2 linked regions of the Drosophila melanogaster genome follow. The protein of the gene in region 1 interacts with the protein of each later gene in a pairwise test. Each region holds a gene or a part of one and is shown on either strand. Other genes may lie near its edges.

Evidence for each region. The genes of interacting proteins can lie anywhere in the genome.
Region 2: the proteins of CG4250 (region 1) and Poxm interact in a two-hybrid assay, tested with the Drosophila melanogaster proteins (one large-scale study listed by BioGRID).

Annotation. Positions count from the first base shown.
Region 1 is NT_033778.4:22,661,819-22,664,993, reverse strand, and holds CG4250 (uncharacterized protein), read right to left. Parts: upstream 1,303-3,175; 5' UTR 1,250-1,302; coding exon 1,081-1,249; intron 1,006-1,080; coding exon 873-1,005; intron 820-872; coding exon 717-819; 3' UTR 520-716; downstream 1-519.
Region 2 is NT_033777.3:8,330,771-8,335,465, reverse strand, and holds the start of Poxm (Pox meso), read left to right. Parts: upstream 1-1,673; 5' UTR 1,674-2,341; coding exon 2,342-2,351; intron 2,352-4,695.

The DNA.
Region 1 (3,175 bases):
TCTCGGCAAATATGAAATCCGCTTGCTTGAATAATAACTTACTTATATAAACATGTTAATAAAATTGGACATCGAATTTGCATCATTTCAGGTATTAATCTGGATACTAGTTGCCAACATTTTTTAAATTATATGAAATTAACTAAATATTGTTGCCCATCTTTTTTATTGGTATTATTGCAGAAAAAGTTGTAATCAAATAAACGGATAAGCGATCAAATTACCTTGTTTCTTCCCTATTCCTTTGTTTAGTGTTTAATTCGAAGAGGGGAAATATAAAATCTAGGTATTAAATTACAAACCTTTTTCCACTGTTCATTGACATAAGTTGTTCAATATACATATATATATATATATATATCCAGTTTCAAGAAGAGGCAGCGATTGTTAGATCAACAATGTGAATGAAGTTATATAAAGGGCGTAGGATGCAGAACCTCAGATAAAAATATCTATAATATATTCCCGCCTCAGAAATTTCCGGGATTTATTAATATTATATACGAAAGTGTTAACATTCATATATCGCCAACAATTTGTGTGATTAGAAATTTATTTTGAAAAGTAAACCAATGCGAAAATTACATACATATATTCAATTGATTTGAACCAGAGTTGTATTTCGTGAATATTCGTGCCAAATCTGATCCCATCAATAGGTGTGGAGATACAAAGTGGGATCTATCCCTGTAATATTTGGTGTTGAGATAGCACTTCTAGTTCTTGTAGGTGCCCACGTAGGCTCCACAGCTGGTGCAGGTGTGTTTGGCCGACTGGCAGGAGTCGGTGCAGTACGGAATGCAGCAGCAGCAAATGCCCCTGAAAATGGCCATTAGTCCTGCGGGCAGGTGGAGCAAACGGGCTGCACTTACCCCAGCATGCAGATGAGTAGGGCCAACAGGTGGGTCTTGGTGCTGGGCTCGAACTCCACCTTCGTCTCCCTGCGGACGCCGCAGCTCGGACAAGTGGCAACGGATGGACATTGGCCCAGGACATTGGGTGGAGCTGAAAGAGGCACGATTGGATTTCGTATAATATGCGATATTATATTTTATGTTTGAATTGCACAGAAGAATTGACCATTATTTCCGATTGATTCATAGTTCTCTGTATTCTCACCCTGCAATATCACTCCCTGTCCCTGATGGAGCTGAGGATAGACCTGCTGCGGTGCGCTATCATAACTGGGCGGTGCCTGGAAACCCGGAGCCTGAGGCTGCATATTCTCGTATTGAAAGTTCTTCTCCATTCTAATTATTCCGACCGATGTGTGCTACGCGTTTGAATTGCCGACAGCGACTGAAACCGCAGAGAGCTCCTCCAACATTGCTCGGCGAACTTTCGAGTTGCGGCGCGATGCGAATTCTATATAGCCCTACTATGTCGGATGGCTTGCTAAGCGATTTCCGTTAAATATTATGTGGCTATCAGAATAAGGGCTTTTACATGAGTAAGTGTTCTTTTTTTTTTGCAGGATGAAAAGCTTTAGTAAGAAATTGCTCAGCCATGATGAATTAATTAATATCAAAACTTACCAATAAAACAGAAATGTTAGCACTTAGTAGGGTATTCCATTGTCAGGTAAACAAACCAGTAGCTTTTACCCTTCCGAAATGGTCCTTCCAGCTATGCTATTAGCACGTATATAACAACAATTTGCATATTTATTGAAAACATAAGAAATACTCAACTCTGCTCAAGAATTGCGTTGTCTCTAAAACAAATCAACCCCCAGGTAAAATCCACTCGTTTCTTCCTTGAACCCTTTTATTGGTGTGCTGAAGAATACATATGCCGGCACTACAATGATTTGTTTTGTTATCAAAATAGTGCGTAGTAATAAATGTGAGAGAGTTAAAAATAGATCAAGTGGGGATAAGTAATGGGGGCTGCATTTCGGCACGGCTGCTGGCTGCAGTCCACGACAAAAAAAAAAAAACAACTTCCGGCGGAAGTTGCTCAGCGCTCGTAGGTGCCAATGTAGGCGTTGCAAGATGGACAGTGGTGGTCGGAGTTCCGGGCGCATTGAGTGCAGTACAGGCAGCAAGCAGGGCCAAAGGCTGCACGAAAGAGATCACTCAATGAGAATGCACCCAGAATGTTAAGAAATCAATATCGAACATGGCTTACAAGGTAAGGCACATAATCAATGCTATCAGGTGAGTCTTGGTGGTGGCTTTCGGCTCCACACGAGTGGTAACCTGTTGACGGCAACTGGGGCAGACCACGATGCACGGTTCCGGGCCAACGGAAGTGGACATTTCGATGGCGGAGCTGCAGAAAGAAAGCACAGGAAACTCTAATAACTCTCATATTGATTGCAGCGCAGACCTTGAAAACTTGAATACGTCGCGTGCCGCTGGTGCATGAGCATTAAATTGGCTGGTTAATGGGGATTTTAATTGCACACCCGCCATGCAAAACAAGCTGTAATCCGCCTTATCTCCCGTCGATGGCACCACGGTGCTGCGCAATCCCTCCTGCCGCCGTGAGGTCATCCTCGTGGGCCACGGAATCTCTTGTGCCATGTGGCAAGCTTCGTGCCGACGCCGTCATCGCACAACCGCGTGTGTCTGAGCCCCGCTCAACCCCGATTCCATCCATCATCTTTGCTCGTCGTTTGGTGCAACTTGCTTGCTCGGTCTGGTCCTATCCAAAATCAACACAATCTATTTATGTATGTTCTCACTAGCGCAAACCACCCAGCACAGTATCCTTATTTAACAGCGGGTGTGTCCGTCGCCAGTGATTAACATTCCCCCCGAAATCCTACTGTCGTCCTGTATGTCTTTGCTGAGTTCTCCCCCAAGCAAAAGTAAATTTTTTGGGGAGCGGCAAAGCAGCGGTAAACATCTAAACAACCAGATATTACCCAATTAGACCTGACTATAATAGTCCGTTGCTCATGTTTGACCCAATCCTAGGCTTGCATAATATATCTCTCCCGTCATACTTACAATCTGTATGGGTGGGTACGTTGTCAAAATAAATAAAGTAGAATTCCGATTTCACAGAGAGACAAAAAGTTAATGCGCACTGTTTGGGCTGCGAAAGTGTTGTGCGGTCAGAAGTTTAGGGCGCGAAGCGGGACACTACACTTCCAAAAGTATTTCCGTTAGCAACATTATGTTGCCTAACTGGGAAGTGATATTTATATACATCCTTAAAATTGATT
Region 2 (4,695 bases), on another chromosome or scaffold:
TCAAAATGCCAATGTAATAGATACATTTTAAATGTTTTTAAAATTTATATAAAAATTATAAAAAATTAAAAAGACAAGTAATTTAACAATAATGAATTGTATTAGGAGAGTTTAGTTTAAATTTTTTAAAGTACATTGTAACTATAAGAATTATTTGTTTTAAAACAAAGGCAATGTCGGAAATGGCGTTCGTCAAACCACAAAATGCAGGGAAATGCAGTCGGCAATGAGCAGAAATCAGAAAGTGACAGGGAGAGGGCCAATTGGATTCGCAACAAAAGGTATGAGCAGGTAAGCGTAAGCCAACTCAAGGAGGTGTGTCCAACGCGCAACAGTGTGTGTGGGCCAAAACACACACACACGCGCACTAAGTGCACACACAGCCATGCTAAACAGCCAGCGAAGAGAGCGAGCACAACATTAAGAATAGCAAGAGCGGCGATTTGACCATTTTAATGAGGGAATGACAACGACAATTGGCATCTATCATTAAATGGCGGTATTCAGAATTAGTGACAATCAGATGAAGACGGCATTTCTTATAATTAACTCTAACCAAGCAAGACGCAACGCCTCAGCGAGAGTTGGCATCACGCATACGCCGCATTGGCCGGGAGGTGGATCCCTGGGGATCTACGGGGTTAGCTGTCTGTGCCGCTTTATTAGCGATATGGCTTTCTTAATGAACCAAAAATAGATGCACGCGCTCCGAGAATTCCCACAGCCCCGCCCCTTTCCTTTTCCTTCCGTTTCTCTCCTTCTATCCTTCTCCCTCGGCTCCTTTTTCGTCTGCTCCTCATCTGTGTGACACTAAGAAGTCATGACATCGCTCGCCCACCCTGCGTAACGCTACGGATACGCTTACTTGCTTCAGATTGGCCATTCAAGCATTCAGAAATTAACTCCGCCCGGTTGCGTATGCTCACTCACTCGGTTCGGTTCGTCTGTGTAGGTATTGCAGCGGAGAGAGAGCGAGAGTACGAATTCCGATCCATGGATACACCCACACATCCGTTGGCACACAAACACAAAGTTGAGCGACTACAGGAGCGGTAACTGGGGAAAAAAGGAGAGATGGGTTGTTAGCTTAGTTTATTATCCATCAGCAAGAAAACGGAAATATGTTATGATAAATAATAAAAAAATTGTATAGATTATTGTGTATAACTTGATGTAATAAAGTCTTAAAAACCTTCTTCTAAACTTCTGAATTCGATCTCTTTATTAAAATATTTAATTTATATGAACCCTTTACTTTAAACACTTACAAGATATTTCGATACCAAAGTTACTGGCGCCTTAACTCTTCTGGGCTTACCCTCAATTCGCTGCCTGCGCTCCTGATCGCTGAAAGACATTCTTCATTTTTATTATTTGCCCGCGGTCCACCAACAAACGCACACCAGTGCGCGATCATCGCCATTAAAACCCACATATACGCTCGACCGACCGCCCCTTCCTCTCACGGATGAGTGTGTGTGTGCTTGCGGAGGAGAATGCGGAGAGTGAGAAAAAGAGAGAGCGAGATCTTGGGATGCTGCGTCGACGCGGTGGCTTCCACTTCCACTTGAGCCTGTAGATGTGGATGTGACTGTGGCTGTGGTGGTGATATTCAATGTGTGCGTGGACGTGGATTGTGGGCGATCTTGATCGGCAGCGCCGCGGGCAGCGTTAGTCGCAGCAGACACGGGTGACGAGCAGCAACGATCGTTTTTGGAGAGCGCGCCAGGTTTTCCCGATCCAAACCGTTCCCAACCGATACGCTACGACCCGATACGCTAGAGCAAAAAGGCCATCGAAAGATTTAAAGGCGCGCGCACGGATCAGTGAATGCTGTTTAAATCGGTTCATTTGCAAACCATCAATCGCACGGGAGGTCCGCCAGTCAAGTCCAAAGTAAACCGACATAATTCCCAAAATCAAAGCATAACAAACCCATTGTAGTGTCATTAAGTGTGTGTAGTTCCCGCTTCCCCAATAAGGTGTGATAAGTGCGTGATAATTTTCGAGCCAACCTACTCGAGAGCGATCGTTTTGGCCCGAAAATGTGCTAATCAGATCTCAGTCTTGGTTCACGGCATAGTAGGCATCGCAGCCCGATGCTGTCCCGCACAACTGGCGCCAATTTGTATACAAATTTCATGCCTTAATTGAAACTCACATTATAGCCAAGTGCGAAAAGTTAACGACTAGGTAACCACCGACAATCCCCAGCAAAGCAGAGTCCAACTATTCCGGCGAATCCAATCGGAGAAAGTTCCACGGCGGAGTTGGCGAAAGGCAGATTTGGGTGCCCACAATTGCAATTCTGGAGTTCTTCAATCAATTGCCATCGGCCGAAATGGACCCAGGTATGTCTCAATCCATGACTCACAAAGATATAGGCCTCAGAATTCATTTCCAAATTAAAATTTTTAGATCTATCGGCATTTTTGAGGTGCCGACGGCATTGGGTTTCTTTAAAAAGCGTAGTAGCTATTTTATTGATAGATTTGGGTTAATATAATCAGAAAAACAAGAATATGTATATTGCAGGAAATATTGATAAGACTTTTGAAATCACATTTCCCTCTCTATCTTAAAATATAAGGTAACGAAAAGACAAATTCAAAAGTAGCACTATATTTTCACTTAAATCTCTTAACTTAAGCCCGCCACTCGAGTGTTTTGCCAATAAAGCCCTCTTGTCCGATCCTCCAGCCAAGTCCTTATCCGGATCCCCTAACTGCTTGGGATAAACACAATCGCTCGCTGGACCAACTTCTTTTTTTTTTTTTTTTTTTTTTTGGGCAACATCAAGAGGCAGATGTTTGCTTTTGATTTTCGTTTCAAAAGGCTGCCGTCGCTTGGCGCATGATCGACAGCCTCGCGGTAGCCGCGGCACTTGTTTGACTTTCGATGATGTCGCCGACGTCCGCACACGTACCCGATTCCAAAACCCAAAACCCTAAACCGAAAATCCAAAACCCATAACCCCAATCCCAATCCCAAACTCCGGAGCCAAGGCTCCTAATTTAACTAATGATCGTTGTAATGTTTCTGCCTTTGTCGTGCGGTCTTCACTTTTGGCTCCAAGTGTCCGTGTCTCTGTTTGTCCATGTGCTTTGGGCCAAAAGCAAAATGCGAGTGCAAGACATGGCCTTATGGCCGAAAACTACGCTACACAAGTGTGTAAAGATTTGATCAGTTCTCTCAGTTGTTGACAAACATGTGCGCAATCGAATAATTTGGCATGCGTCGATTTACTTTTACAAATTTCGAATTGCTTAGATCATCTTTTGAAATAATTTGCCAATAGTTTTCAATTTCTATGAGTGACATACAAGTGTGACTGACTATGGGTAATCTTTTATAATGGTATTCCCCACTTAGTTTCAAGTATTTATTTGTTTGCTTGAGCCTCTTTATGGCAAAGTATCAAAAGGACATACACGAATATATATTTTTCCACTTGTCCGAGCTGAAAAGAAGTTATAAGTCGGCTAGGAGGTCCCGCACTTTTGGTCCATTAATGACATGCTTTCGATGTTTTGACATTCTGTTTGTACGCCAGCATTGTTTGCTCACTAGGAGACGTCGAAAAAGATATAGACGCCGATGCAGACCCATGCTCATGCCCGAACCCAAACCAAAACCCAGACTCTGGACCAGAGGTGCAGAAATGCGTGACTAACGGCCACCGGTAGCCATCTACTTCGGTAGCTAAACATGAAAAGCCCACCAGACGCGGGCCGCAAGTGCAAGATGTTAAAATCACAGAAGGGGCAGTAAAACAAAAGGCGCAGACGATGGCCACGAAAGGCAGGCAAACACTTGAGATCCGAGGAGGAAAACGTCGCGTCAATGTGTACATGCCTTAATGGAAGAGTCTATATGGTATGGGAGTAGGTGCCCAGGAGCAGCGACTGCGGGAGGATGCGGCGGGGACTGATCTGAAAGCCCGACCAGTAGCTTCCTCCCGTGGATACCGATGATTGCGGTTCGGGTTTGGGAAAACGCTTCACTGCCTCGGCTTGATTGTGTGGCGTCGTTTCCCCTGAGTTCTTTAATTAAATCACATCCCCGACCGCTGATGCGGAACATTCATTAAGCGCATTTGCAGTCATTTTGGGCATTGCTCGGCGAGCTTAAAAAAGTTGCACTAAATAGGCTTTGAGTATAATTAAAACCTCCAAAACCCTTTGCATTTTATCCTTTGAATAGTATGTTCTACTTTTTGTTGTAATATGCTAGGTTTCTCACTGTAGATCAGTTGACATTTGCTCCCTTTGGGCGTGGACATCTCCCCATGGATCCACAACCTCTGACATCTGACAAGTGTAGTTCATGTTCTTGGAAGCAAACTCAGCTCATTACCATATATTTAATGAGTTTCTAATCGTTAGGGGGCACGTGTTTGAGCCAGTTCATTCTGGGATAATGAATGCGATCGCATCAATAAGCGGGCGGCTAACATCTGGTTCTAACCCCTAACCCCTAGACTCTAACCCCTTGAGATGGCCTGTGTCAAGTCCCATGGGGGCGATGGCGACCCAAAACCGGAACTGCCACAATCATTCCAAACTCCATTTCTCAGTCTCGAATTTGGAGTCCTAGGATCAGAGCTGTGAAACTGGCTATTTTCCAGCTAGCTCTAGAAGTTCATTTCATACAATAAAATGATATGAAATTATGTAGCTAAAGGAAATTAAAGGG